Linked DNA regions of Ovis aries. The protein of the gene in region 1 interacts with the protein of each later gene in a pairwise test. Links are inferred from orthologs where the notes say so. Each region holds a gene or a part of one and is shown in the gene's direction. Other genes may lie near its edges. The genes, in order: CEP63, SPTAN1, CCDC14, SNRNP70 and SMC3.

What was found.
Region 2: the proteins of CEP63 (region 1) and SPTAN1 interact in a two-hybrid assay, tested with the Homo sapiens proteins (2 studies listed by BioGRID and IntAct). The link is inferred for Ovis aries from reciprocal best matches to the Homo sapiens genes CEP63 and SPTAN1.
Region 3: the proteins of CEP63 (region 1) and CCDC14 interact in binary tests that used the Homo sapiens proteins (3 or more experiments, as listed by UniProt). The link is inferred for Ovis aries from reciprocal best matches to the Homo sapiens genes CEP63 and CCDC14.
Region 4: the proteins of CEP63 (region 1) and SNRNP70 interact in binary tests that used the Homo sapiens proteins (3 or more experiments, as listed by UniProt). The link is inferred for Ovis aries from reciprocal best matches to the Homo sapiens genes CEP63 and SNRNP70.
Region 5: the proteins of CEP63 (region 1) and SMC3 interact in a two-hybrid assay, tested with the Homo sapiens proteins (2 studies listed by BioGRID and IntAct). The link is inferred for Ovis aries from reciprocal best matches to the Homo sapiens genes CEP63 and SMC3.

What each region holds. Positions count from the first base shown.
Region 1 is NC_056054.1:255,433,567-255,439,490, reverse strand, and holds part of CEP63 (centrosomal protein of 63 kDa), read left to right. Parts: intron 1-2,547; coding exon 2,548-2,781; intron 2,782-3,037; coding exon 3,038-3,177; intron 3,178-5,924. UniProt on the Homo sapiens protein: Required for normal spindle assembly.
Region 2 is NC_056056.1:7,770,095-7,776,018, reverse strand, and holds part of SPTAN1 (spectrin alpha chain, non-erythrocytic 1), read left to right. Parts: intron 1-145; coding exon 146-238; intron 239-822; coding exon 823-957; intron 958-2,010; coding exon 2,011-2,159; intron 2,160-3,243; coding exon 3,244-3,303; intron 3,304-4,407; coding exon 4,408-4,606; intron 4,607-5,924. UniProt on the Homo sapiens protein: Fodrin, which seems to be involved in secretion, interacts with calmodulin in a calcium-dependent manner and is thus candidate for the calcium-dependent movement of the cytoskeleton at the membrane.
Region 3 is NC_056054.1:189,148,134-189,154,057, reverse strand, and holds part of CCDC14 (coiled-coil domain-containing protein 14), read left to right. Parts: coding exon 1-13; exon of another isoform or gene 14-86; coding exon 87-219; exon of another isoform or gene 220-4,436; coding exon 4,437-5,358; 3' UTR 5,359-5,924. UniProt on the Homo sapiens protein: Negatively regulates centriole duplication. Negatively regulates CEP63 and CDK2 centrosomal localization.
Region 4 is NC_056067.1:55,354,166-55,359,054, forward strand, and holds part of SNRNP70 (U1 small nuclear ribonucleoprotein 70 kDa), read left to right. Parts: intron 1-1,699; coding exon 1,700-1,801; intron 1,802-4,284; coding exon 4,285-4,372; intron 4,373-4,451; coding exon 4,452-4,889. UniProt on the Homo sapiens protein: Component of the spliceosomal U1 snRNP, which is essential for recognition of the pre-mRNA 5' splice-site and the subsequent assembly of the spliceosome. SNRNP70 binds to the loop I region of U1-snRNA.
Region 5 is NC_056075.1:30,683,241-30,689,164, forward strand, and holds the end of SMC3 (structural maintenance of chromosomes protein 3), read left to right. Parts: intron 1-173; coding exon 174-332; intron 333-931; coding exon 932-1,039; intron 1,040-1,549; coding exon 1,550-1,658; intron 1,659-2,278; coding exon 2,279-2,526; intron 2,527-2,615; coding exon 2,616-2,828; intron 2,829-3,108; coding exon 3,109-3,300; intron 3,301-3,453; coding exon 3,454-3,631; intron 3,632-4,245; coding exon 4,246-4,442; 3' UTR 4,443-4,990; coding exon of another isoform or gene 4,991-5,062; 3' UTR 5,063-5,399; downstream 5,400-5,924. UniProt on the Homo sapiens protein: Central component of cohesin, a complex required for chromosome cohesion during the cell cycle. The cohesin complex may form a large proteinaceous ring within which sister chromatids can be trapped.

The sequences.
Region 1 (5,924 bases):
AGATCTGTAGTTCTTCTTTTATAGATCTTGTACATATTTTATTAGATTTATACTTAAGTAATTTCTTTAGGTGTTAATATAAATAGTGCTGTGTTTTTTTGTTTTTTTTTAATTTTTATTTTATTCATTTGGCTGCAGTGGGTCTTAGTTGCAGCATCATATCGGCTTCTGTAGCTGTGGTGCGCGGGCTTAGTTGCTCCAGGGCATGTGGGATCTTGGCTGCCTGACCAGGGATTGAACCTGTGTCCTTTGTGTTGCAAGGCAGATTCTTACCACTGGGCTACTGGGAAAGTCCTGTGTTTTGTTTTTAATTTAAATTCCACATGTTTACTTTTGGCATATAGGAAAATGGTTGACTTTTATATATTAACTTTATATCTTGCAACCTTACTATAGCTGATTATTAACTTAGGGATTTTTCTTTTTTTTGGTTGATTCTTTCAGATTTTCTACATAGATGATCATATCATCTGTGGATAAAGGTAGTTTTATGACTTCTTTCCTGATCTGTATACCTTTTTTTTCCTTTTCTTACTGCATTAACTAGGACATCCACTGTGATGGTTGAAAAGGAGTGATGTGAGGATAGATTGTTGCCTTATATCTGATCTTTGTGGAAAAGTGTCAAGTTTCCCAATATTAAGTGTAATGTTAGCTGTATGGTTTCTGTAGAAAGTCTTTGTCGAGTTGAGAATGTTCCTCTCTATTCCTAGTTTTTATCATGGAGTTTTTTTTTTCTATCATGAATATATTATATATACACATATATATGTATGTATATATATGTATTTTAAATTGGAGAACAGTTGCTTTACAATGTGGTGGTGGTCTCTGTAGTACATCAGTGTGAATCAGTCATAATTATATATATATCGCCTCTCTCTTGAGCCTCCCTACCTGCCGCATTCCACTCCTCTAAGTTGTCATAGAATGCCAGACTGGGCTCCCTGTGTTATGCAGCAGCTTCCACTAGGAAGGTTACCTGTTTTACACATGATAGTGTATATATGTCAGTGCTACTTTCTCAGTTTGTGCTACCCTCTCGTTCCCACGCCATGGCTACCAGTTTGTTCTTTACATCTGCATTTCCATTTCTCTGTAAATAGGTTCATGAGTACTATTTTTCTAGATTCCATATATATGCATTAATATATGATATTTGTTTTTCTCTTTCTGGCTTACTTCACTCAGTATAATAGGCTCTAGGTTCATCCTCACTAAAACTACTCAAATTCATTCCTTTTTATGGCTGAGTAATATTCCATTGTATATATGTACCACAACTACTTTATTTTTATTTCTAGCTTTATACAATTTTTTTTTAATTGGTGAAAATTGCTTTATAATGTTGCATCAGTTTCTGCCATGCAACAATGTGAATCAGTCATAATTTTATATATACCCCCTCCGTGTTGAGCCTTCCTCCCCTCCCCACATCCCACCCCTCTAGGTCATCACAGAGCAGCAGACTGGGCTCCCTGTGTTATACAGCAGCTTTCCACTGACTGTCTGTTTTACACAGGATAGTGTATGTATGTCAGTGGTACTTGCTCAATTCATCTCACTCTCAGCTTCCCCCACTGTGTCAAGTCTGTTCTCTACTAGTTTCATCAGTACCATTTTCCTGGATCCCATATATATGTGTTAATATGTAATACTTGTTATTTTCTTTCTGACTTACTTCACTCTATATAAGAGGCTCTAGGTTCATCTACCTCACTACAACTGACTCAAATTTATTCCTTTTTATGACTGAGTATATTCCATTTACTACAACTTCTTTATCCATTCATTTGTTGATGGACATCTAGGTTCCTTCCATGTCCTGGCTATTGTAAATAGTGCTGTGATGAACATTGGGGTACATGTGTCATTTTGAATTGTGGCTTTCTCAGGGTATATGCCCAGTAGTAGGATTGCTGGGTCATATCATAGTTTGGGGGCTTCCCTAGTGGGTAAGTGATAAAGAATCTGCCTGTAATTCAGGAGACCACCTTCTACGCAAGGGATGTGGGTTCGATCCCTGGATTGGGAATATCGCCTGTAGAAGAAAGTGGCAACCCATTCTAATATTGTAGCCCCATGCTATGACTTAGCAACTAAAACACCACCACATGGTGGTTTTATTCCTAGTTTGTTGTGAATCTCCATACTGCAGTGGCAGTACCAGTTCACGTTCCCACCAGCAGTGCAGCAGGGTTCTATTTTCTCTACCTCCTCTCTAGCATTTATTGTTTGTAGTTTTTTTGCTGATGACCATTCTGATTGGTATTAAGTGATACCTCATTGTAGTTTTGATTTTTATTTCTCTAATAATGAGTGATGTGAGCATCTTTTCATGTGTTGATTGGCCATCTGTATGTCTTCTTTGGAGAAATGTCTGCTTAAATATTTGTTCATTTTTTGACTGGACTGGTGAATGAATTATATATTTTTAATGATCTATTGCTGTATGTTTTATGGAGGTAAAATTCAGCTTCATTTTAGTCTTCCTTGTTCATTGATTATTCTTTTACTTTTACCAATTGATAATTTGTGTATTTTTAGGCTCAGCTTGCCAATCGGAAACAAAAATTAGAGTCTGTGGAACTGTCCAGCCAGTCAGAAATTCAGCACCTGAGCAGTAAGCTGGAGCGGGCCAATGATACTATCTGTGCCAATGAGTTGGAAATAGAGCGCCTCACCATGAGAGTCAATGACTTGGTTGGAACCAATATGACTATTATGCAAGAGCAGCGGCAGAAAGAAGAAAAATTGAGGGAATCTGAAAAACTACTAGAGGTATATTTTTAAATTTTTATATACTATAACTGAGGAAATGTGTGTATGTCTGTTTTAAGAGAAACTAATTAACCTACAACTAGGTTCCAAAATCTGCAGTTTCTTACCTACTCTGTAGCCAGTGGATCAGATATTGATATTGGGCCTATTAATACTGTATCTGTTATATAATTTACAGTTTGACTCCTGGCTTCCTTGTGTCGTGAAATAGAAAAAGTGTAATAATATCTGACTTTTTTTCTGAGTATTTTTACAGGTTCTTCAAGAAGAAAAGAGAGGATTGAAGGCAGCTCTTCAAACTCAAGAAAATTTTATCCATGATGCAAGAATACAAAAGGAGAAGCTGCAAGCAAAATTAAAGGCAGCTGATACTCAACACACAGTAGAGACCATAAGGTATAACCTTAAATATTATTAGTCTTAGCCACAGGGTGGTTTGGCGTTAAGCATGTGTACGTCAAGGCTGTATATTGTCACTCTGCTTATGTAACTTATATGTAGAGTACATCATGAGAAATGCTGGACTGGAAGAAACACAAGCTGGAATCAAGATTGCTGGGAGAAATATCAATAACCTCAGATATGCAGATGACACCACCGTTATGGCACAAAGTGAAGAGGAACTGAAAAGCCTCTTGATGAAAGGGAAAGAGGAGAGTGAAAAAGTTGGCTTAAAGCTCAACATTCAGAAAATGAAGATCATGGCATCCGGTCCCATCACTCCATGGGAAATAGATGGGGAAACAGTGTCAGACTTTATTTTTGGGGGCTCCAAAATCACTGCAGATGGTGACGGCAGCCATGAAATTAAAAGATGCTTACTCCTTGGGAGAAAAGTTATGACCAACCTAGATAGTATATTCAAAAGCAGAGACATTACTTTGCCGACTAAGGTCCATCTAGTCAAGGCTATGGTTTTTCCTGTGGTCATGTATGGATGTGAGAGTTGGACTGTGAAGAAGGCTGAGCACCGAAGAGTTGATGCTTTTGAACTGTGGTGTTGGAGAAGACTCTTGAGAGTCCCTCGGACTGCAAGGATATCCAGCCAGTCCATTCTGAAGGAGATCAGCCCTGGGATTGCTTTGGAAGGAATGATGCTAAAGCTGAAGCTCCAGTACTTTGGCCACCTCATGTGAAGAGTTGACTCATTGAAAAGACTCTGATGCTGGGAAGGATTGGGGGCAGGAGGAGAAGGGGACGACAGAAGATAAGATGGCTGGATGGCATCATGGACTCGATGGACGTGAATCTGAGTGAACTCTGGGAGTTGGTAATGGACAGGGAGGCCTGACGTGCTGTGATTCATGGGGTTGCAAAGAGTCAGACACGACTGAGCGACTGAACTGAACTGAACTTAATATTACATATTCATAATTTTGTGCTTGATCATATTATAGGTTTTCTTAGTTTTAATTTCTGAGTTAAATTTTTAGGGTATTAGATAATAATGTATGGCTATTTTTTTCTACCTTCAGTTTGGGTCCCCTAACCAAGAAATTCTGATGTTTGGAAAGTTAGAAACCCTTTTGTCAATCTGTATAGGCTTCCCAGGTGGTGCAGTGGTAAAGAATCCACCTACCAATGCAAGAGACGTGGGTTCAATCCCCTGGGTTGGGAAGATCCTCAGAAGGAGGAAATGACAACCCACGCCATTATTCTTGCCAGGATGATCCAATGGACAGAGGAGCCTGGCAGGCTACAGTCCATGGGGTTGCAAAGAGTCAGACATGACTTAGCGACTCTTCTCTCTCTGTCTCCTGTTAATTTGTACCCTTGTTGAAACTCCAAACGTGAAAGGAATTATAGTCTTATGTCTCCTGGGAGGCCTACCTTCTTTGGTAAGATAAATCATGATTAGTAGCTGGTAAGGACATGTGCTTATCTTCTATGAGAACTCCAAAATTACAACTTGCTGCTGAATAACCATCAACAGAAGAATGTTGGCTCCCACCAAAAAGGTACCCCACTTCCAAGGGCAAAGAAGAAGCCCTAGCAAGATAGTAGGAGGGGCATAATCACCTTTAGAATCAAACCCCATACCAGCCAGAGACGCTCGGAGGGCTCAAACAAACCTTGTGCCACTGGGACCCAGAGACCCCACAGAGACTGAGCCAGAACTGTGTTTGAGTGTCTCCTGCAGAGGTATGGGTCAGCAGTGGCCTGCCGCAGAGGCAGGGGCTCTGGGTGCAGTAGACCTGGGTATGGCATAAGCCCTCTTGAGGAGGTCACCATTAACCCCAGCATAGAGCAGCCAGAACTTAAGCAGGACTGGGAAATGGACTCTTGGAGGGCCCAAACAGAACCTTGTGTGTAGCAGGATCCAGGAGAAAGGAGCAGTGACCCCACAAGAGACTGACCTAGACTTGCCTGTGAGTGTCCAGGAGTCTCTGGCAGAGGCATGGGTCAGCGGTGGCCTGCTACAGGGTCAGAGGCACTGACTGCAGCAGTGTGTGCATGGAACCTTTTGAAGGAGGTCATCATTATCTTCATTACCTCCGCCATAGTTTGCCCTCAGGTCAAACAACAGGGAGGAAACATAGCCCCCCCTCCCCATCAACAGAAAATTGGATTAAAGATTTATTGAACATGGCCTCGCCCATCAGACCAAGACCCAGTTTCCCCCTCAGTCAGTCTCTCCCATCAGGAAGCTTCCATAAGCCTCTTATACATCAGAGGGCAGACAGATTGAAAAACACAATCACAGAAAACTAACCAAACTGATCACATGGACCACAGCCTCATCTAACTCGATGAAACTATGAGCCATGCCGTGTAGGGCCACCCAAGATGGATGGGTCATGATGGAGAGTTCTAACGAAACGTGTTCCACTGGAGAAGGGAATGGCAAACCACTTCAGTATTCTCACCCTGAGAACCCCATGAACAGTACTAAAAGGCAATCCCCAGGTTGGTAGGTGTCCAGTATGCTACTGGAGATCAGTGGAGAGATAACTCCAGAAAGAACGAAGAGACGGAACCAAAGCAAAAACAGCACCCAGTTGTGGATGTGGCTGGTGATGGAAGTAAAGTCCGATGCTGTAAAGAGCAATATTGCATAGCAACCTGGAATGTTAAGTCCATGAATCAAGGCAAGTTTGAAGCTATCAAACAGGAGATGGGAAGAGTGAACATCAACATTTTAG
Region 2 (5,924 bases), on another chromosome or scaffold:
TAAGTGTTTATCAAATAAAGGGAGAGAGAGTCATCAAGTCACCAGGTAGCTAAACAGATTTAAGAGGCAGACGGCATGCTGGGGAGGCAGAGGGGCTGCTCTGGCTCCTTGCTCAGGGTCGCTTTGTGTGTGACTTGGATTTCAGGCTCTGCTAAAGAAGCACGAGGCATTGATGTCGGATCTCAGCGCCTATGGCAGCAGCATCCAGGCCCTGCGAGAGCAGGCCCAGTCGTGCCGGGTAAGTGAGGCTTTTCATGTCAGCAGTTGCAAGATCCCAGGGGTTGGGTCGGGGCCAGGGAGCAGGGAGGCCAAAAGACCCAGATGCTGACAGCAGGTGGCATGATCTTGGGTGACGTTCTTTTATTTATGTATTTTTAGCTGTGTTGGTTCTTCATTGCTTCATGGGCTTTCTCTAGTTGCAGAAAGCGGGGGCTACTTTTCGTTGTGGTGCACAGGCTCTAGGGCGTGTGGGCTCAGTAGTTGGGGTGCCCAGGCTCAACAGTTGAGTGCACAGGCTTAGGTTTTCCAAGGCATGTGGGATCTTCCTGGACCAGAGATCAAACCTGTGTCTCCTACATTGGCAGGCAGATTCTTAACCACTGGCCCACCAGGAAAGCCCCCGTAGGTGACTTTCCTGTGGCCTTAAAGGTCCCAGACAGCTGAGCTTCCTGAGTCAGATCTTGTTGGTGGCTTCAGAGGAGAACTGTCACCAGTGTATGTTTGATGGATGTGGGTCTCCTGCTGAGGCTGGGATCTGCAGTGGCTGAGACGGCACTCTGGAGACATCCCATAACTGTGTTTGCCCTTCCTTTGAATTTTTAGCAACAAGTGGCCCCCATGGATGACGAGACTGGGAAGGAGCTGGTCTTGGCGCTCTATGACTATCAGGAGAAGAGTCCCCGAGAGGTCACCATGAAGAAAGGAGACATTCTCACCTTACTCAACAGCACCAACAAGGCAAGCACAGAGGATGACAGGGGGTTGGTTTCCACATATTAGGTGTCTTGGGAGCTTGTCTTTCCAGGATGTGGCTGGTTTAAAACTTAAAGTTACTAGAGTTTCCAGGTCAGTCTCCCATGTCACGTGGGTTTACTGTTTTGCCTGTGATTGAGATGACCAGCCTGTCTCCGTAAATACCTGAGAGCTAGGGTAGTGACCCTTACTCTCAAGGACCACTTCCAAGTGGAATTTTTTTCTCTTTTGAGCTGAAGTCTGCTTCTCTGTCACTGGCACCTGTTGGTTCTAGACTGTAGGGCCGCAGCAGAGGGTTGAAAACAGGCTTCAGCGTCACCCTGTAGGCTCCGCCTCCTCATCTTCTCCAAGTTCAGTGCTGCCTGGTTCATCAGTCTTTCTTAACGCATTCTGATTGGCTATGGCCTTGGAATGAGGCCATCATCTGACGAGCCCCCCCAGGATCCTGCCCCCTGTCTTAGTGTAGGCTGGAGAAGTGTTAGGCACCTCCTCTTCCCAGCCACTCAGCTCACCTGGTCGTGGGACTTTGAGGAAACACTGGCCAGTGTCGGTCTGCTGACTCTAAACCTAAGCTAACTGCCTGGTCTGACTCTGGTTCACTCCAGAGCAGCCTCGCCAGTAGAAGCCACGGTGATGGCAGACTATGTGTCTGTGTTGGCCCCACAGAAGCCACTAGTCACAGGTGACCATGAGGGGCTTCAGAGGTCCCAGAGCATCTGAGGTTTTATTTAATTTCCTGAAGTATGGCTCGAGGCTGCCGTGTTAGCACAGTCCTGGAGCATCTGTGCGAAGAGAAGGTGGCCTTCCTGCTCCAGTAAAGTCATGGCTGCCTCACTCATGACCCTCCCTATACGCGGCAGGTCACGAGGGGATCAAAATTCCCATCTTCACACCAGGTGACTTTGGCACCGTCACGGGATCCTCATGCCGTGACTAGAGCTCTTCTTCATGTGTGCATGCGTGTGTACACGGGCCTCCTTGGGTTCTCCCTCCGTCAGGGGAGGAATTTGCCATGGAGATAGTCTCTTTTCCCTGTAGGACTGGTGGAAAGTGGAAGTGAACGACCGGCAGGGCTTCGTGCCGGCCGCCTACGTGAAGAAGCTGGACCCAGCGCAGTCGGCCTCCCGGGAGAACCTCCTGGAAGAGCAGGGCAGCATCGCGCTGCGGCAGGAGCAGATTGACAACCAGTAAGGGCCTCGCGGGTGGCGGCAGAGGGCCAGCGGAGGTCTGCGCCGTGCGTCGTCCTGAGGGGCTGAGGCGGAGGCCGCCCTGAGCTGAGGCTCCAGGGCGAGTGCTCTCCCGATGCCCATCTGCGCTCTAAGGTGTACTCTCCCCCACCGTCCCCACGGCATAGCTTACCCACACAGCTCCAACCCCAGGAACCTATGATCCCTGACCTGTCCCTTTTTTTTCCTTTCATTTGTTCTTTTCCCTGCATTTGCCAGTTGCTTTTCCTAAACAACGTTTGCTAATTGTCACCATCTGGATCTTTGTTCTCCAGTTCAGGAGGTGCTCTCTGAAATGGGGTTTTTAGCTGTTCCACACCTCTTGAGTTCTGTCCTCTGCAAAAGGCTGCATAGAGTGTGTTTCTCTACCATGGTTTTATGCTCTGAGAGTGGAGTGTATTTTTTAGGAAACAGCTCTGCACCCTTTCTTATGGCTAAGCTCCCTTAAGGACCCGTGTCCCTCTTTTTAGGGCACATCTTGCACTACTAATGAGATCTAAAGCTCTGGACACCTGGCAGACAGCCAGGAAGTACACTCTGATGAGAGGCTGGAACAGTAGAACTTTTTTGACCCTGTTGATCCCTGCAGAGGTCAGTTTTTATACACTTACCGATGCTTTCTGTTATTGCTAAGAATGAGAGGTTTTGGCCTAGATCGTAAATATGAGAGCAAAAAGGTGGACCAGATACCTGACTCCAGTTGCGTGTCAGCCCTCAGGAAAACCTCTTCCTCAGGGCGGTCACTGTACCTCTGGCCTGGCTTTGTGAAGCGACCAGTGTGTCTAGCTGAGGAATGTTTACTGCCTTAAGCATGGCAGACAGGAAAACAAAGGTGAACTAACTCTCGTGTCATTGGATTTGATTTTCCTGCTCTTTCCTTACTGTGACTTCATTCCCGGCCTAGCCTGCTTCCAAGAGCTCTCAAATGACTCCGTCATTTCCCCTTGAAGCGTCCACTGTCCTGGCCCCCATCGGAGCCGCTGCCTCCCACCCCGTGGATTAACCCACTAATCCGTGCGTGCTTTTGCTGTGCCCCCCCGTGCAGGACGCGCGTAACTAAGGAGGCCGGCAGCGTGTCTCTGCGTATGAAACAGGTGGAAGAACTGTGAGTAGGCCGGAAGCCCTGCCGAGCACCACCCGCCGCCCCGTCCATCCTCCCTTCCCTGCTTCTCTTGAAGGCGCTCGCTGGTCGAGGAAGGCGAGGTGGCAGGAGGGCCCGTCTCTGGCAGCAGCTTTGGCTCGCGAGGGAAGGGGTTTGGGTGAAGCCGTGTCAGCTGTGGCCGCTTCTCTCGTCGGTGCTTCTGTGCAGCTGTGCGTTCAGAGCCTGCTTGGTGTGCCTGCTGTCGGTTTCTTCCTGGACTGGCCGCTGTCAGCGGGCCAGGCGGCGGCCGGCGCCCTAATGCTCCTCTGTTGGCAGCAAGCCGGCTGCCTCTTGAAGTCTGACTCTCGGTAATGCGCTCCTGTTTTATTTCCCTTTTGGAGACTTAGGTTCTATTCTAGGTCTTTTTAACTTTCAACTCAGTTGTATTAAGTTTGCTATTTTCACATCTGCAAGGATGCCAGGAGTTCAGCCTTTTGTATTTTGGTTCCCAAGAGTTCGAGTGTTATTGGATTCTTCATAAGAAATCCTCAGCTAACGAAATGTGCTTTACGTGACTTCTCCTTCCAAAGTGGCCAAAACTTCCTGAGAAATAAGTATGTTAACATGAGAAACAGTAGGAATTCCCTACTGTTCAGAGATACTAACATTCTGAATGAGGCTGTTGTAAAGCTCAGTGTAGCTTCCCCCACCACCTGGGCGCTGCTGGCAGAATCATACGACAGGAGAACAGGCCCTCTGTATACACCACGCCCAGCAAATCCATCTCTCATCTGGCAGCTGTAGTCGCATGGAGCCTGTGTTGTGCTAAACGCTTGGTTTTGGTCATTTGTGGTTGTGCTGGTGTCAGTGCACACGCGGCCCCGGGGTGAGTGTGCCGGGCCGTCCCCGCCACCCCATTGTGAACAGTGTAGTGTGGGCTTGTCCCGGAGGCTGTCCGTGGGTCCTCGGGGCCTGTGTCTCCACCTGGTGTCTGATACTCTGCCACCACGGCATCGTCCTTATCAACACAGCCTTGGACCACCTCTCGAAGACACGGGTGGTCTGCCTCCATAGGAAGTTAACCCGCCTCCCCTCCCTCCCTTTTGTCACCCTCTTGAATTACTTCAGGTACCATTCTCTGCTGGAACTGGGAGAGAAGCGTAAAGGCATGTTGGAGAAGAGCTGTAAGAAGTTCATGCTGTTCCGTGAAGCGAACGAGCTGCAGCAGTGGATCAACGAGAAGGAAGCGGCCCTGACAAGCGAGGAGGTCGGCGCGGACTTGGAGCAGGTCGAAGTGCTGCAGAAGAAGTTTGACGACTTCCAGAAGGTACGGGAGGTCTTGCAGTTGAGTGGAAAATCGTTCAAAGGTTTGGATCTCTTGACATTTGACTGTGGATTTCTGGAATGAAAATTAGAGATTATATTCCTCTGTCTCTGTAGCCATTTTTAAACGAGTTTAATCATAACTTTTCTTGCACCATTTAGTTCTGAGAAGACATCAATACGTGCAGTTTTCTCTGCATGTTGTTTTAAGAACTTTCCTAATCTATCATACAAAAATGTGTAAAAGTAGTTTTCCTAATTAGGGTTAAGTTCACATAACATTGGGCTTCTCTAGTGGCTCAGTTGGTAAAGAGTGTGCCTGCAACACAGGAGACCCAGGTTCAGTCCCTGTGTTGGGAAGATCCTCTGGAGAAGGGAATGACCACCCACTCCAGTATTCTTTCTTGGAGAATCCATGGGTAGCGGAGCCTGGTGGGCTACAGTCCGTGGAGTCGCAGAGAGGCAGAGGTGACTGAGCGACTTCCACGTAACAGACAGTTAACTGTGATAAAGGATGTAGTTCAGCAGCATTTGGTTTGTTCCCAGTGTTCTGTTACCATCACTTCTATTTCCAAAACATGATCACTTCGCAAGGAGAGCACAGACCCATGAAGCAGCCTCTCCTTACCCGCTGCCCGCCTCCACACCAACACCTGGCGAACACCAGGCTGCTTTTTGTCTCTGCATGTATGTGTCCTGGACATTTCATATCAATGGAAGCACATGTTATGTTACTTTGTGACTGAGGGCTCCACAGAGGGTTTTGAAAGTCTAGTCATTATCGATGGATCAGTGATCTTCTAGCGTTTATTGGCTAATGCTCCGTGGTGTGTATATATACACCGCATCCTGTGTATCCATTCCTCCAGTTTAAAAATACTCTTGTGAGACTTCCCTGTCTGGCCAGTGGTTAAGACTGTGCTTCCAGTGCAGGGGGTAGGGGTTTGATCCCTGATCAGCAGCGTTCCAGATGCCTGCGTAGTGTGGCCAAGAAGGATATACATATTTTTATGACCAGTTCAGTTGGGTGGGGGGTGCCTCTCTCCTGTAGTGGCAAGCTTTAACATTTCATCACATTTTTAATATGTGTCTTCTCCCCGATGAAGGTTTTAAAAAAATCTCCAACCAGAATAGTTTTTCATTAACTACAGTTAGTTTAGTAAGTAAGAGACAGGCTATTTCTAATGCCATGTAGTTTTCTTATTCTTCAGTAGTAGCAAGCAGGATTTTCTGATTTAGGTCACTGTCAAGGAGTAGAAAAACTACTTATGGGATACCTGTCAGATAGAAATTTATGGAGTTCATGAGTATCTGTGTCTTCC
Region 3 (5,924 bases), about 66 Mb from region 1:
AGAATGAAAATTGGTATGTGTTTGAACTGTAGTCACAGTCACTTTTTAAAAAGTAATACTGAAACTGAAACTTTTTGTTGTTTTAGAATTGGAGGAAGCCTTAGTCAATGTGAAAAGCTCCCAGTTTAAGTTAGAAGCTGCTGAAAAGGAAAATCAAATATTGGGAATAACATTACGCCAGCGTGATGCCGAGGTGACTCGACTGAGAGAATTAACCAGGTGATGTTGACATTATTTGAATAACTTATGCCTTTTGTTAGATGTATTTATAAACTTCAAAATAATTTCAGACCTGCCTTCTTAAACCTTATCCTTTTCTCAGTGTTTTTGCTAATTTCTAAGGATATTTTTCTTCTGTTCCAGTTAAATTTCAAACGTGGCTAAATTCTTTTTTAAAGCATGTAATTCCAGGCAAAGGACTCTAATGAAGAGCTGAAGACTTGTTTAGCAAGTGGTTAAGAACTCTCTGAAGCCAGAGACACCTGAGTGGAATTCCAGCTCTATCATTTATTAGCTGTATGACTTTGAGCAAGATAGTTAACCTTTCTAAACCTTAGTTGTAAAGTGGGGGCATGATTAGGGTTGATAAGAGGGCTAAGAAATCATTCATGAAAAGCATTTAGCACAGTAAGCCCTCATTCATCGGATCTTGGGTAAGTTATTTAGCCTGTTTGAACATTATTCACTGCATTAGTAAAATGAGGGATTTGACAATAATTTCTAAGATTTCTTTCTTCCTTAACATGTGTTAAATAAATAAAACCACCTCACTCAACTTTTATATGATATTCTTTTATAAAGTTCAGTTTTCTCTTGAGGTGGTTGACAAAAATTGGATTTTCAACTGATTTTTTAAATCCTAGAGAAGTCAGTTATTTTAGGCCTAAATTATATATCATCAGATCTGACCATGCTTTTGACTGATCCTGGAAAGTCATAGTTCTAAATATAAAGCAATCCTGAATATAAAACAATCTTCTTTGTATTTCAAATGAAAAGATCCATTTTGCATTATACACTTTTTTCCCCACTTTGAGTTATAAACTTCTGGAGAATAAATGATACATAGATACATGGTGGTGGTTTAGTCACTAAGCTGTATCTGACTCTTGCAGTCTTGGCAGGACTGTAGCCTGCCAGGCTCCTCTATTTTCCCAGGCAAGAATACTGGAATGGGTAGCTATTTCCTTTTCCAGGGGATCTATCTGACCCAGAGATCAAACCTACGTCTCCTGCATTACAGATGGATTCTTTTACTGCTGAGCTACCGGGGAAGCCTATACGTATACATATATATATAAAGAATATTTATTAGTTTTGTAAGCATATTTGAAATGACTTTATATAAGCTATGTTAATATAGAAATATTGCTTCTCCCCACATTCATCTTTTACAGAATAATTTCACTCAAACTTTTATTGAACAGTGAGAAAAACAAAATGTACTTCTTGTATCCGTGTAGTATTAATTAGGCTCTGGTCACAGTTTCTGGAATATTGGGTTATACCACTCTTTTTCCAAGTTAATTATGAGGATGCCCCTTCTTATGAAAGTCTTTATAAGGTCTCTAAAGAAAAGCATCTTCTCTTTTCTGAGGAGTAATTTAGGGTAAAAACTTTGTTATCTTTAAGTATTTATGGTAAAAGAAGTTAATCACAAAAACCCACATATTTTATGATTTTATTTCTAAGAAATGTCCAGAAAAATGCTAGGATTTACTCAGATCAAGTTGCCCTTTAAATTTAAGAGCAAACCAGACAAAAAATACTCTTTGAGCTTGGTTGTCAAAATTCACCCACATTGGTGACTTGGGCAATTCAGTTAATTAGGAATATTCCCAGTACTATAGCTGGGCTACTGTGACAATTTACATTTTACTTCTGACATTAGAGCATAAGTCAACAACACTTGACAATACAGATAAATCTTCATGTTCGCCTACCCCATCTTTTTTTCCTATAGCCATGTAACCTCAGTCAGATATGTATGTGTCTCTGTGTGTGTGTGTGTGTGTGTGTGTGTGTGTGCATTTTTTTTTTTGCATGTGTTAAATAGTCTCAGAGATTTGACAAAAAAATGCCTTTCTCATACTACTGGGGAGTGATTTCACATACAAGTGCTAAACAAATTTCCTAAACCATTTCTTCTCCAACTTTCAATAGTTTTGAAATACATCTTTATTACGTTTTTTAGATTTTACTAGAATGCAGGTTATAGTACCATTAAAATGTGAGGAAAATTAATATATTTTTCAGTAAAAAAGTAGTAAATATTCTTCTGATAGTTTCTAAGAGCACTCATACAAGTGCTGATATTTATTTAAATTAGTATAGTTTTATAAATAGCCAAGAAAGGACTTTACATTTTTATTATGAAAACGCACCAGTTTTCCAAGCATTAAAAACCGTTGTGTTTAGCTGAGTCTCATGTAATAGAAACACAGATATATCTACTTTGTAGCTATTTAGGTGCTTGTATTGCTTCCTTTAAAATTTTGGCATAGTTTTATCTCTTTATTTACAGAGATTTTTCTTTTAATTTCAAAGACAGTTGTAAGTCACATTTGTTTACACATGAGAAACTTAATGATTGCATTTAATTTCCAGAGATTAAACTCTTTATTACATGTCCCTTTTTGTATTGTGAATTTTGTACAGAGCAAAGATAATATTTTTATTTAAGTCTGAAAAGGAACTTCAACATAAGGATTTCTTTTCCAAAAATAAATGAAAATAAAAGTGTCAGTATGCTGTCTGGTTGAATTAACTAGTGGTCATTGCTCATTACAGGACTTCTTTAAAGATGGTTTCTATGGCATACTTTTTATCTTTTAATAGTAGCTCGTTAGCTTCTTGAAAGAGGAATGAAAAAAAGTGGCTGGAGCCATTGCCATTTGAAGGGCAATCAGAACTCAAGACATAGCATATTTAAGATGACAGTGTATGCCAGGTTGGGAAAGAACTTTTTTTCCTTTTGTAGGAAAAGGATCACTTATTCTATATCCAAAGATATTAATATAATCACTGCTAACTGTTTCATACAGAGATTTCCTTTTAGTATTTTATTTGGACGTGTATAACTGTTTTTACAAAAATAGTATTGTTACTGTGTTGCTTATGGCTACTCTTTTAAATTTAACCTTGTATAATGAACATTTTCCTATCAATAAATATTCTTTACAAATGACTATAAAAAATGGCTATGATGTAGTAAGAATGTAATATACCTGAACCAGTCCACAGTATTTGAAGATAAAGATATTAAGTTCATCAATTTTCTGTTATAAATTATATCTTTGTAAATATATCTTTGGGTGCAGCCTATTGGTGAATATCAGTAGGTTAAATTCCTAGAAGTGCAACTTGGTGGGTCTAAAGGTGTGGAATATAAAAGTCTTTTAAGATTTCTGATATAATGCTATTTTGCTAGGAGAGTGTACACTCCCACTTTGCCTCTCCAAGCCTTTTTAACAATGGATATTCTTATTTTCCTATGTTAGCTTGATAGGCCCAAAAAAATCCTATTTTAAAAATTTTAATTTATCTGATAAAAGTCAAACTTTAAAACATACTTATTGACACATTATAATCTTTTTTTAAAAATTACCTATTAATGTTCTTTGTATCTTTAAATTCGTTATGTTTCTTTTTCTTATCTATATATAAGAATATATATGATTCCATTCAAATAGACTAAAGTCTTGGTATAAAATGGTTTTAACAGGACTACTAATAAAAGCTGTCACCAGATGGAAACAGTGCTAAGCACTTTACCCTTATGTTTTATTATTTTATCTTATTTAATGTTCATTCTAAATGTGAAGTAGTTATCTTCATTTTTGCAGTTGAGGAACTTGAGATTCAGAAAGGTTAAACAGCTTGCTCAAGATCACAGCTAGCAATAGTGCTAGGATATGAACCAATTTCTGTCTGACTTCAAACCCTGTGTGATTTTCCTTATATCACACTTTCCCTGGAATCTAGCTGTCAGTTATACCTAATTATATGAGATAATTAAATTATGTCTAACTATCCTTTTTTTCGCCAGTATTGTTCCAATATCCTTTCCATATATGTTTTGAATGTAGAGTAATAGTTACTAACACAATCCACTAACAAATGGGTAGTATATTTACCATTTTGCAGTGTTGCTCAAGAATAAAGCATCTCTACCTTAAGAGAAAATTTTTTCTGAGCCTCCACTTTTAGATATAATAGTATTAGATTTGATGCAGACTAAGATCTTATATCAATTGTTACTTTAATTTACTCTTTCCAGAACATATTATGTGATTTTGTGCTTTTAGTTGCTTTTTCCCATATTAAGAACCAGGTGCTTGCCTCAGATACTTTCTTTTAAAGATGAGAGGAATATGTAAGTAAATGAAACAAATGGGTAAAAAGAAATAATTAGTGTACTAAATTCTTCTTAACAGAACTTTACAGAGCAGTATGGCAAAGCTTCTCTCAGATCTTAGTATGGACACTGCTCGCTGCAAGCCTGGGAATAATCTTACCAAATCACTTCTGAACATTTATGAAAAGCAACATCAACATGACCCGATCCCTGCTCACACTTCCATAATGAGCTACCTAAGTAAGTTAGAGCCAGATCACACTCTTATTACACATCCAGAGCCTCTTTCTACAGTTGCCAATGAGGAAAACATGGTGCCAGATAGACCTTATGAAAATGTCCTGCCCTCCAAAGGCCCTCAGCACAGTAATACTAGGAATATGGAGGAGGTATCAGCCCCTGGAATTGTTCCTGCCCTTTCAAAACAGGATTCTGATGAGGCAAGTGAAATTACGACCTTAGTAGAAGATGAGCATAATTTGGATAAAACAATTTACATTCCATTTGCTAGAAGCACTCCTAAAAAGAAATCGCCACTGTCTAAGAGATTATCCCCCCAGGCCCAGATCAGTGTAGCTCCACCGCAACCGGTCAGTGGACTTGTTGCTGAAAAAGAAAATACACTGTGTGCACCTGGAGTTTGTTCCTCTTGCAAAAAGGAAGAAGCACCTGAGAAACTTTCCAGAACAGCTGATAGGGAGGACAAGCAGCTTCTCAAGAAAATAAAGGAAGCCATTTGCAAGATCCCTCCTGCCACTGAGGAGGAGTTGGCAGCCTGTCACAGCCCCTCTGCTTGTCAGAACAGCAATGTTCAGGTGAAAAGCAGTGCAGTCTCTGATGGTAGCTTTTTAAATTCTGACTTACCTTCTGACTGGAGCATCTCTTCTTTTTCCACGTTCACGTCTCGTGATGAGCAAGACTTCCGAAATGGCCTTGCAGCACTGGACGCCAACATTGCCAGACTCCAGAAGTCCTTAAGGACTGGTCTTTTGCAGAAGTAAGCTCAGAAGGAAGGAAAAGTTGTTTTTAAGAATAGAACTTGGCTACATTGAATGTATATTTTAAATTTCTTTAGAGAAAAGTTTTATATTATGTGTGAAATAAATTGTATGAATAATACATTTATCATTGGAATATATTGACACTAGAGCTTATAAAAAGTCATCTTAAGAAACTGACATTTGTTAAGAGAAGAAAGTTGTGTGTTACTAGAAAAATACTGTATTATAAATAAAATTTAGTATTTATTTATTAGAGTTTATTCTTACTCTGCTGGGCTAAGAATGCAGGTTGGAAGGAATTTCTGGTTGTTCTAAAGGATAATAGGAAGGGAGTCTCTGGGTACAATTTACTATATTAAAACTAGAGGGTTTTTTTTTCTCTTTCAGGATTCCTGTTTGTTTTTTAATGGCATTGTGTTTTAATGTGTGATGTTCTGTGCTACAGGCTGGTGTTGTTGGTGAGACATATAAACATTTATTTTAACAGAAAAAGTGCCAGTATCTCCATTTAAAAAAAAAACAAATGTTGATTGGTCTTAAAAAATATAGATAACATCCTAAGTTAG
Region 4 (4,889 bases), on another chromosome or scaffold:
CCCGCCCCCACTACGCTCCTCTGGGTTCAGGGGCCCAGCGGCCCCTTCCCCGTGGATCATGGGCAGTACTCCCATCTCCTGGACCCCCGAAGCTGTCCCCTTGTGTGCCAGCCTTTGGGCTGAAGCAGATGGTGGGAGGGAGTGAGAAGTTCAAGGTGGAAAAGTCATTCCATGTGCTGAGGGGGTGGGGCCTGTGCCTAGCTGAGCGTGGATTTTATGGGGAAAAGCTGAAGGTGGACAGGTTTGCTAAGGCCTCCCTAGCCGCTTTGTAGAATTCAAACAAGATAGTCCTTTCAAGTTCCCAAGCTCTATGTTAACCCTGTCTCCCTCCTCTTCAAGGCCTCCATGAGGTTTCTTTGGGGTCCACCACTTCCTCTGCCTGCCTCCAGGCGGTACAGGAGATGTGGTTCCTCGCCCCTCCGGGGGCTCCCTAGAACCCCCTGGCTCCCTCCCCCGTAGCTTTAGCTGACCCCATGGTGGTGGGTGTGGGGTCTGTGCGCGTGCTCAGGTAAGCTTGGGGGCTCCAGGTAAGCGGTCCCGTGTCCCCCCCCGGGAAGCCCGCCTCCTCGCCAGGCCCCCAGGAGTTGCCGAGCCCCCCCCATCCCGCTCGGTTTGGACACCCGCAAGGCTGGCATCGGTAAATGGCACCTTTTTCTCTTCCTCTGGTTGTTATTTGGGGGGGGAGCGGGCTGGGGCGGGGCCGGGTGTTGTGGCTGGTTGAGGATGACCCCCTCCGCCAGGGCTGGGGGTTGGGAAACAGGGACGTTTTTGGCCTCCCGAGAGCCCCGTGTGAGGCAGCCCCGGGCTTGGGCCTGTCCTTGGCTGTGTCCTGCCCACCCGCAGGACGCGCTCCTCCCCGCCTCTCCCCCCTTACTCCGCACCCTTCCTGAGGCTCAGGTCGGGCTCGGCCCTTCCCGGCGCGTGTTGCACTGGGGTGTGGAGGGAGAGCTGGGCTGGGGGCTGGGTGGGTATAGTCTCGGCAGGTAAGGCAGGGATTTTCAGTAGCACCGCACGACTCCCATGCCTCCCTCCACTTCCCTCTGCCCCACCTGCTGTAGGGGGCCCCCATAACCCACCCTCTACTCCCTGCCATCTCCTAAAGATTTCTCCTGCCCCCTTCTGGTTCATTTTCTGTTCTGATGTCTGTTTCCCCCATGCTCACCCTCCCCCAACAAAAACCACAGTAAAAGGAAACCGGTGTGAACTGGGGTGCGGAGCGGCCAGCCGGGCCTCTGCTCCCAGCATGACGTTTTAGGGTGCATGCCTGGGGTTGTGGAGGAGCCCTCCCCCACTGCAGAGTCCAGCCTTAAGTTAACCTCCAGTTTCTTTGCAGCGACTTTGGCCGCCTTGGTGGGAGGGGGCTGCTCTGTCAAAGGGGAGTAGGCCTGGCCTGGGAGCCCAGGGCAGTGGTTAGGGTGAGCATAGTGGTTGGGAGTGGGCCGGCCCCCCAAGAGTGTTTGGGGGTGATGAGGCAGGTGGTGAGATGGAGCAGGCCCCTCCCGGGTTGGGAGAAGGTTGTCTGGCTGTCAGTTGCCTGGCTGTCTGGTGGGCCTGTGTGTGTGCGTGCGTGTGTGCGCCGAAGTGTGCTGACGGGGACATGGCGGGTGTGGCGGGTCGGGATGCCACAGAGTGGGGCCGTCACCTGACTAGAGGATCCTCTGGGGACTCCTCCCCCTCCCCTTCCCCACATCTGTTGCAGCCGCTTACAAGCATGCAGACGGCAAGAAGATTGACGGCAGGAGAGTGCTCGTGGACGTGGAGAGGGGCCGCACCGTGAAGGGCTGGAGGCCCCGGCGGCTAGGTGAGCGTGCCCTGCTCTGGCTGGGCTCGGGGTCCTGCTGGCTCCCTCTCCCTTCTCTTCCCCCCCCCTGCTGCTTTCTGTCTTCTCTTCCCCATGCAGCTGCTCACATTCCTCCCTCTCTCCAGCTCAGCCTCTCGGTCTCCAGCATTCTCTTGGTCTGTTTTTGTTTTTTATTCTGGGTTACCAATTAGGAGCAAGAGTACTGACCTGGAGAAGCCAGTCTGGGATCAAATTCTGACTTGCGCATACCTGGCAGGTGGATTTCTCCCCTTTTCTGACTCATTTTCCTCATCCTAGAAAGTGGGAATAATCTCAAGAGCTCACTGAGTTCAGTGTCTCAGATACACAGCCTGGCAAATGGTGTACAGTGGGGCTTGAAAAGTCGTTCTGGCATCCGCTTAGACTTTGCTCCTGCTCATCCGGCCTGTTCGTTCATTGATTACTGAGTAAACACTGGTGTGATCACCAGCTGCGTAGCAGGCTTCTAGTCAAGGGTGAGACATACATGGTTGGCCGCTGCCCTCAAAGCTTCAGTCCCTCTCACTGTCATCTCTTATTGTCAGTTACCGTCTCAGTCAAGGTCAGGTTGGTAGCAAGTACCAGAAAACAGTATAAAGGGGTCTGTTGGTATAGAATCCCGGTGTCTTGGGGCCTTGTTGGTGTAGAAACCCCAGTGGCTTGGAGCCCAAAGATGGGGGAGGTCTGTGGGCCTTGAGGCCCTGGCGGCTGAGCCTGCAGCATCCAGAGCTGCCTCTGGCAGCTCTGTGCCTTCTGCCTTGTTTGCTTGCTGTCTGTGAGTTGGTCCCTTCTGGCTCTCTCCCCACGGAGCCAGTGTGGTATTCCACAACGCAGTCTTGGATGAGTCTGCGCTTCTGGGTGGGTGGATCTAAGTGGCTCAGCGTTGGGCCTGGACCTGGGGCTGAGGTTGTGCCATCCAGACTTGGCTGTCGAGGACCAACTCCAGTGAGGGGGAGTGACCCAATTGTCAGAGAAAATAGTCTTCGCTATGCAGACACCCTAGGCAGGTCCAGTACCCTCTGACCTTATTTCTGCCCCCAGCCTGCTGTTCTTATGCTTGACTTGCCTTTACTGAGTAAATCACACATGTATCTGCCGAGTGTCAACTCAATAGATAAGTTCTCCTCTCCCTCTCTGGTTTCTTTGGGTTGGAGTGAGTCCTTCAGAGTCTGCTCTTGCCCATTGTAGAATCCTGGAATCTCAGAATCTTCTAGTTTGATTGGCATTCCAACTTTCTGATGGTGATAGCCAGTGCATTTTGACCCAGTGTACATGCAAAAAAAATACATTTAACCCAAACAAAAGTTTGATGAAACAGTAGTTTATCTTTTCTACGGGCAGTATATATACTAGTGTTTTATGTTCTGTTTCTTTCTTTTAAAGAAATGGTTGGTTGCATCCTGTCAGATTTAGTGATGTGACTCCACTGCTGGGTTGTGATCTGAACATGGAAAGCACTGGTCTGTTTCTCCGCATCCTTGCTGGGTGGCTTGTCCTCTGTTCGGATGTTTCATGTCCATGTCCAAGCTTTTGACCCTCATTGCTGAAAGCTATTCCTTAAATAGCTTCAGGAAACTCCCTTCCAGGCAGTGGGGGCAGAAGACTGAGTGAGAGGGCAGCTTCTGGAGTTAGCGGGGAATCACGTCTCTGCTCTGCCCTTTCTTGCCGAGTCACCCTGGGCAGGTGGCTTTTCAGCCTGCGTTTGTTTCCCACGTGAAGGAGGAGGGTAACTGCTGCTGCTTCCAGTTGTCCTTGTCGCCATTTGCTCGTCCAGCTTTTTATCGTGGCTGCTGGTCCAGCGTCCTGATGGAAGGCGCAGTACAGGCTAGAGAGGGAGGCAGCTGTTAATCAGCTCTCTCTTGAACGTGCGTGTACACACACATAGACGAAATTGGAAACTCCACCTGAGACACACACGTGAAATCGGAAACTCCACTGAAGTTCTGAAGCCAGTGTGTGGTCTGTGAGTGGAGAAGGGCCTCAGCTGGTAGGTCAGGGCAGGCGGAGTGAGGAAGTGAGGTGTGGGTTAAGGTGCGGAGGGTAAGTGGGAGTTAAGTAGAAAGGAAGGTGAGACTCCAGGGGAACGGGTGAATGATCCCCAACACTGGGCAGGAAGGACATGGAGACCATGAAGAGGTTGGAAAATGCCTGGAACCTTTAGAGCCAGGGGCCCTTGGGCTGAAAGACAGGGAGGAGGCCGGCCTCTGACCTTGGCTTGGGCGGTGGGCAGCCACTGCCGGCTTTGAGGCGGGTCAGGCTTCAGTTAGAAGGATCGGGGCTGTGTCTCGGGCGGGAATGACCGGAGGAGAGGGTCTGTCAGGGGCTGGGGCCTCCCCGGTGGGGGAGGTGAGCCCGGAGCCCTATGAGGGCGCGTCCAGCTGGCGCTGTGACCTTCTGATCTCTGCACTGCCCGCCGTCTCGGGGTCCCCACCCGCTCTGACCCGCCTGTGTCTGCCCCTCCCCAGGAGGCGGCCTGGGCGGCACCCGGAGAGGCGGGGCGGACGTCAACATCCGGCACTCAGGCCGGGACGACACCTCCCGCTACGATGAGAGGTGAGGCCGGGCCGGGTGTCCTGGGAGCGGGGCGGTGAGTGGGGGAGCCCTGCCGCAAACCTCTGCCCACCTCATCCAGGCCCGGCCCCTCCCCGCTGCCCCACAGGGACCGGGACCGGGACCGCGAGCGGGAGCGCCGGGAGCGAAGCCGCGAGAGAGACAAGGAGCGGGAACGACGACGCTCCCGCTCTCGGGACCGGCGGCGGCGCTCTCGGAGTCGCGACAAGGAGGAGCGGCGGCGCTCCAGGGAGCGGAGCAAGGACAAGGACCGGGACCGCAAGCGGCGCAGCAGCCGGAGCCGGGAGCGGGCGCGGCGGGAGCGGGAGCGCAAGGAGGAGCTGCGCGGAGGCGGAGGCGGAGGCGGCGGCGGCGACATGGCCGAGCCCTCCGAGGCCGGCGACGCGCCCCCGGATGATGGGCCCCCCGGGGAGCTGGGTCCGGACGGCCCGGATGGCCCAGAGGAGAAGGGCCGGGATCGTGACCGGGACCGACGTCGAAGCCACCGCAGCGAGCGGGA
Region 5 (5,924 bases), on another chromosome or scaffold:
TCTTGTTGCTGCATAGTTCTAATTAACGAATGTAATGGCCATCTAATATTTAATTGAGATAATATTATTTAAGCTCACTTTAATATCAAATATAGATGGTCTTCATTATTTCACTACTGTAAGTGATACACTGACTAATACCATTACTAATAAATGGAAAATCTGTCATATAGCAACGTAGCTTACAAAGTTTGGAGGCAAGTTTGCATGCTATGGAGTCCACCAGAGAATCACTGAAAGCAGAACTGGGAACGGATTTGCTTTCTCAACTTAGTCTTGAAGATCAGAAGAGAGTAGATGCACTGAATGATGAGATTCGTCAACTTCAGCAGGCAAGTACAGTTGACAGAAAAAAAAAATTTGTTGGTAATCAACTGTTGTGAAAAGTGTCTTTCTTGCTAGTAAAGGAGTGTGAAAAAGATATTGAGAAAATATAAGATTGAGACTTCCAGTATCCATTAAAGTAAATGAGATTTTAGTAAGTTTTTCTAAACCTTATGATAGGATTGTATAAGAAATCTTCATTTTCCTTCATCTTATTTAATGCCTGTTTGTCACTAGTAAAATTGAGCTTGTTAGCTTTGCTATATTTATTGATCTGACCACCTTTACATATTTAAAAAGTTTTGATTAACATTTGATTCTTAAATATAGATGTAAATAATTAACACTAAATTCAGAAAGTGAAAAGCAGGAAAAGAAAAATATTTTTGGTAGTATGCCTTATAAAAAGAACCAGGCACAAAAAATAGCCTTCTGGATAGATAAAAGAGTAGAGAAGAAAATAAAGGTCTTTTTGGAAAGGTATAAAACTCTTGTTTCAGCTCATTTGAACACAAGTAATGTCGACAACAACAGATTAACAGCATTCCTGTATGTGAAATGAGCATCCCTATGTAGACAGACAATTTGTTTTTCTTTTTTCTTCTAGGAAAACAGACAACTACTGAATGAAAGAATTAAATTAGAAGGTATTATTACTCGAGTAGAGACTTACCTCAATGAGAATTTGAGAAAACGCTTGGACCAAGTAGAACAGGTACGTTCTCTTTGGATGGTTTCTTGATGAGCATAACCTTTTGAATATGCTTACGTGAGAGGCTCTGATTTAGAGTATGGACTCTGGGGACAGAAAGACTAGCAGTCTGACTACCTGCCCTGGCTTGGAGCTCTCACACTGCCACCTAGTGTGCTGTGTTGGTCAAGTCATTTGATATTTCTAAGCTCCAGTTTCCTCTTGTGTAAAAGAAGCATAGCAGTATGTTTTGTGTGATGATCTGGCACATTCTAGGTACTCAGTAAATATTAGTTACAAATATTTTCTCAGTAGTGGTCAGATGCTAAGAAATATTTTAGTCATTAATCATTTTTTTCCTGCTTAATGGATACCTTAAGTATTTACAACTATTTGAAGTATGTTTTTTGGTTTCCTTAAGTGTTTATTCAAACATATCAACAGCTATATAAACATTGGCAGTCATAACATTTTGAAACTAACAAAGTTTATATTTTTATGGCTTAATGCTCCTGTGTTCCTTTTGTGTTATAGGAACTCAATGAACTGAGAGAGACAGAAGGGGGTACTGTTCTCACTGCTACAACCTCAGAACTTGAAGCCATCAATAAAAGGGTGAAAGATACCATGGCAAGATCAGAAGGTGAATTTTTATTTTGTAAAAGTGTTTTTGATATCTAGTTAAATTTAGCTTATTTGTTTTATAAGACCGTGTATTACAAAATGACATACCCAAATAGGCAAAAGCATGTACCAGAAGTTTTTGTCGTTAATAGTTTCTAGTGAACAGTTTAGGGTGTTGATTATTGTCACCTTCATTTTATTGAAATGTTTGTGGCAGTTTTTAAGAGACTATACATTATTAGTTTCTTGACAAAAGCATGGAATAGCTGAATCAAGTTTGTTGACAATTGCTGAGAAGAAAATTATTTTAGGTTTTTATAAACATTGAATAATAAAAACTTTATATATGAATGGCTTGTGTACACTCCCAATTTTATTCTGAATTCTTTCATAAATTTTCACAGGAAAATTTAAACCTATTTGTTTTGATAGATTTGACCATTAAAATCTTTGGTCAGATAACACCTTAAAATAGGTGTTATGGGGAATTCCCTGGCGATCCAGTGGTTAGGACTCCCTGCTTTCATGCCAAGGATCTAGGTTCAGTCTCTGGTCGAGGAACTAGGACCCTGCAAGCCGCATGGCTCAGCCAAAATACAGTAAGTGTTATGGCCTAACTTGGTTTTCCCCCCATTTTAGATTTGGACAATTCCATCGATAAAACAGAAGCTGGAATTAAGGAGCTGCAGAAGAGTATGGAACGCTGGAAAAATATGGAAAAAGAACACATGGATGCTATAAACCATGATACTAAAGAACTAGAAAAGATGACAAATCGACAAGGCATGCTGCTGAAGAAGAAAGAGGAATGTATGAAGAAAATCCGAGAACTTGGGTCACTTCCTCAGGAAGCATTTGAAAAATACCAGACACTGAGCCTCAAACAGGTAAATCTAGTTTGTTTTAAATATGAAATCTCATTACAAATTTTCTACATGTGAGTTTATTTATATGTTTTTTTTTTTCCTCTTTATAGTTGTTTCGAAAACTTGAACAGTGCAACACAGAATTGAAGAAGTACAGCCATGTTAACAAAAAAGCTTTAGATCAGTTTGTAAATTTCTCGGAGCAGAAAGAAAAGTTAATAAAGCGACAAGAAGAGTTAGACAGGGGGTACAAATCAATCATGGAACTGATGAATGTACTTGAACTTCGAAAATACGAAGCTATTCAGTTAACTTTCAAACAGGTATGTTTCTGTTTATAGTTAATACACAAGCTAAAATCTTCAGATACTTAGTTTATCATTCAATTTGTAAAGATTTTAAAGCTTTTTTTTCCACTGATAATTGTTCTGATACTTAAAGACATCCAGTATATATACAACTCTTACAAGGATTCAATCTGTTATTCTTGTTCTTAAGATTAAAAAATAAAAATTTTTTTTTATTGCTTTTAAATAATTTTTGTCTTTGTTTTAAAAAGTACATATTCCATCTGACACCTGTTTATATATTATTCATTTTAAGGTATCCAAAAACTTTAGTGAAGTATTCCAGAAGTTGGTCCCTGGTGGCAAAGCTACTTTGGTGATGAAGAAAGGAGATGTGGAAGGCAGTCAGTCTCAGGATGAAGGAGAAGGGAGTGGTGAAAGTGAGAGGGGCTCTGGATCACAAAGCAGTGTTCCATCAGTTGACCAGTTCACTGGAGTTGGAATTAGGGTAAAATAACTTTACATTCAATTATCCTGAGAGCATTATCATAGTGGAACATTTTGCAAATCTTAAATTGGTACACTGTATGCAACTTAATGTTAAGAGATGATGGAGATTTTACCCCTTTGAAATATTAACTCTAATTAAATATATTCTTAGGTGTCATTTACAGGAAAACAAGGTGAAATGAGAGAAATGCAGCAACTCTCGGGTGGACAGAAATCCTTGGTAGCTCTTGCTTTGATTTTTGCCATTCAGAAATGTGACCCTGCTCCTTTTTACTTGTTTGATGAGATTGACCAGGCTCTGGATGCTCAGCACAGAAAGGCTGTGTCAGGTACAGTTTTGGTTTCATAGCTTCATAGTAACTTACTAGAAATGATAGCTTGCCTCTTTTATCATATATTTCTTGCTGCCTGAGGTATCTGGGGAGACTAGACAGGGTATTATTCAATAAAATAATTTCTCTTTTAACAAAGTTTTTAAAATTTAATATTAGACTACAAAGTATAGTTCTATCAGAAACATGAAACAATTGAAAATCCAACCCCAGTTAAGCTTTTATACAAACGTCTCTCCTTTTAAAACTTTTCAGATTTGATTTACAGATTTACAGATTTGATTCTGTTTTTAAATAATCTATACCTGATCTTTAGTAAGTTCAAAAGATTTTGGGGGAGTGGGTAGCAGGAAAAGGTTGCTCTGGATGAGAAAGATTTACATTGCTCTGATACTGTTTCTAATCCTATGTTAGAAATGCTGCTTTTATATTCTGTAACTAAGATATCGGTGTTAAAGGTTTATGCCTAGCTTAAGAAACAAATTGATGCTTTCTGTAGATGTATGCAATCAGGCAGTTTTAAATTTTAGGTAGGATTAAAGATCATTGCTTTTTAAATTTTTAGTTCTACTGAGAAAATGGTTTTATTAAATTACTCTTTCTTTTTACAGATATGATTATGGAGCTTGCTGTACATGCTCAGTTCATTACAACTACTTTTAGGCCTGAACTGCTTGAGTCAGCTGACAAATTCTATGGTGTGAAGTTCAGAAATAAGGTAAAATTTTTTTACATGAAGTTTAAGTTCATATGGTATTTAATCCATTGTATCTGTTCAATTCTTTTTTTGTTGTTACTTAAGTCATGAGAAAAAATTCAGAAACTTGTTGCTTATTGGATGATGATATCTTTGTGAAAAAAACTTAAAAATGTTTATGAAGCTTATCAGGGGTTTTTTTGGCATTCATTGCATAGTTTTATTTTCATTGGCATTAAGAGACATTATCCTCCTCTCTAGCCTATTTAGTGCTTATTTAATGCACAGTCTTTAACATTTACATACGTTGATTTATATTTGGTTAGACCACATGGCTCTTCCAGGTGTTTTCAGCCTTAAAATTCTTTGAAATAGCAAAGTAATAAAAACTGAACAAAAATGTAGTTCAGATATTTAGACATGAGTACTTATCTGTATCTTCAGAGCATTAAAATGCAGAATATTTTTTAAACTCCTGTGTTGAACAAACAGCATTAAAATAAGGGTTTTATCAGTCAATGTTTTAGAGTCAGTTGACTTGAAATATGCAATTTATATAGGTAATTGGCTATATTTTTAAAATATTACCATATCCAGTGGGAACACTGATAAGTTTCTTTACCATCTAACAGATGCTGTTTTTAATGCTTATCCTTCAGGTTAGTCACATTGATGTGATCACAGCAGAGATGGCCAAAGACTTCGTAGAAGACGATACCACTCACGGTTAGTTGGGAAACACTGCCCGTTGGTCTGGAAGATGTGTAAAGTAATGTGATCCTTTTACCCAGGAACTGTAAATTTAAACCTCAATATCTGGTCATTATTAATAGTTTTCAGCTTAGAGTATACATAGTCCTTTTATATTTCTGTCGTTGTATTTTATAACATACTCTGTAATGTTACGTTTCTATTCATAGTTTAAGGATTTTATTTCCCACACAACTTTTTGTAAAGTGTTCTCCTGTTTTAAATCTTTTAAAATGTGCTAAATATTGTTTCCTAATTATTTTATCAAGTGTATTGCCTCTTTTATAGCTTCAATTAAATAATTGGTTTTATGACTAACTGTTTTATGTGGCTTTTTATTTATAGTTGTATGATTGGAAACAAATTTTTCTTAAATATCTGCTTTTTGTTTTGCTTAAGAAAAGGTCTGCCTTCACCTAAAAAAAGATTTTTAAAATATGGTTTAATATTCTGTTGAATTGCAATATGATTCCCAATCCTGGCTGCTTGTTTAAATCCATGGGAGGGAGCTTTTAAAAATGTAACACCGCTTGAGTCTTTCCCTAGACAATTTGAATCCAAATCTCTAAGGAATAGAGTCTTGGTCAATGTTAATTCTAAAGTTCCGTAAGGTGATCCTGACCCTCAGTGAGGATTAGAAACCCTGCTATAACTCATTGTAACTGTCCTTTAGAAAGTATTTTTAATTTAAAATGGCAGTGTGTTTAATAGAAGTTAGGAAGAGTATCCAAGAAATTGAACTGTAAAAGTTGTTCCTCCAGATAAGTAAATAGTTTGGAAAACCTTGTTATTGGAACATTGGTCTTTTCCCAAAGGAAAAGAGCTTTGTAGTTTATTGTGGTT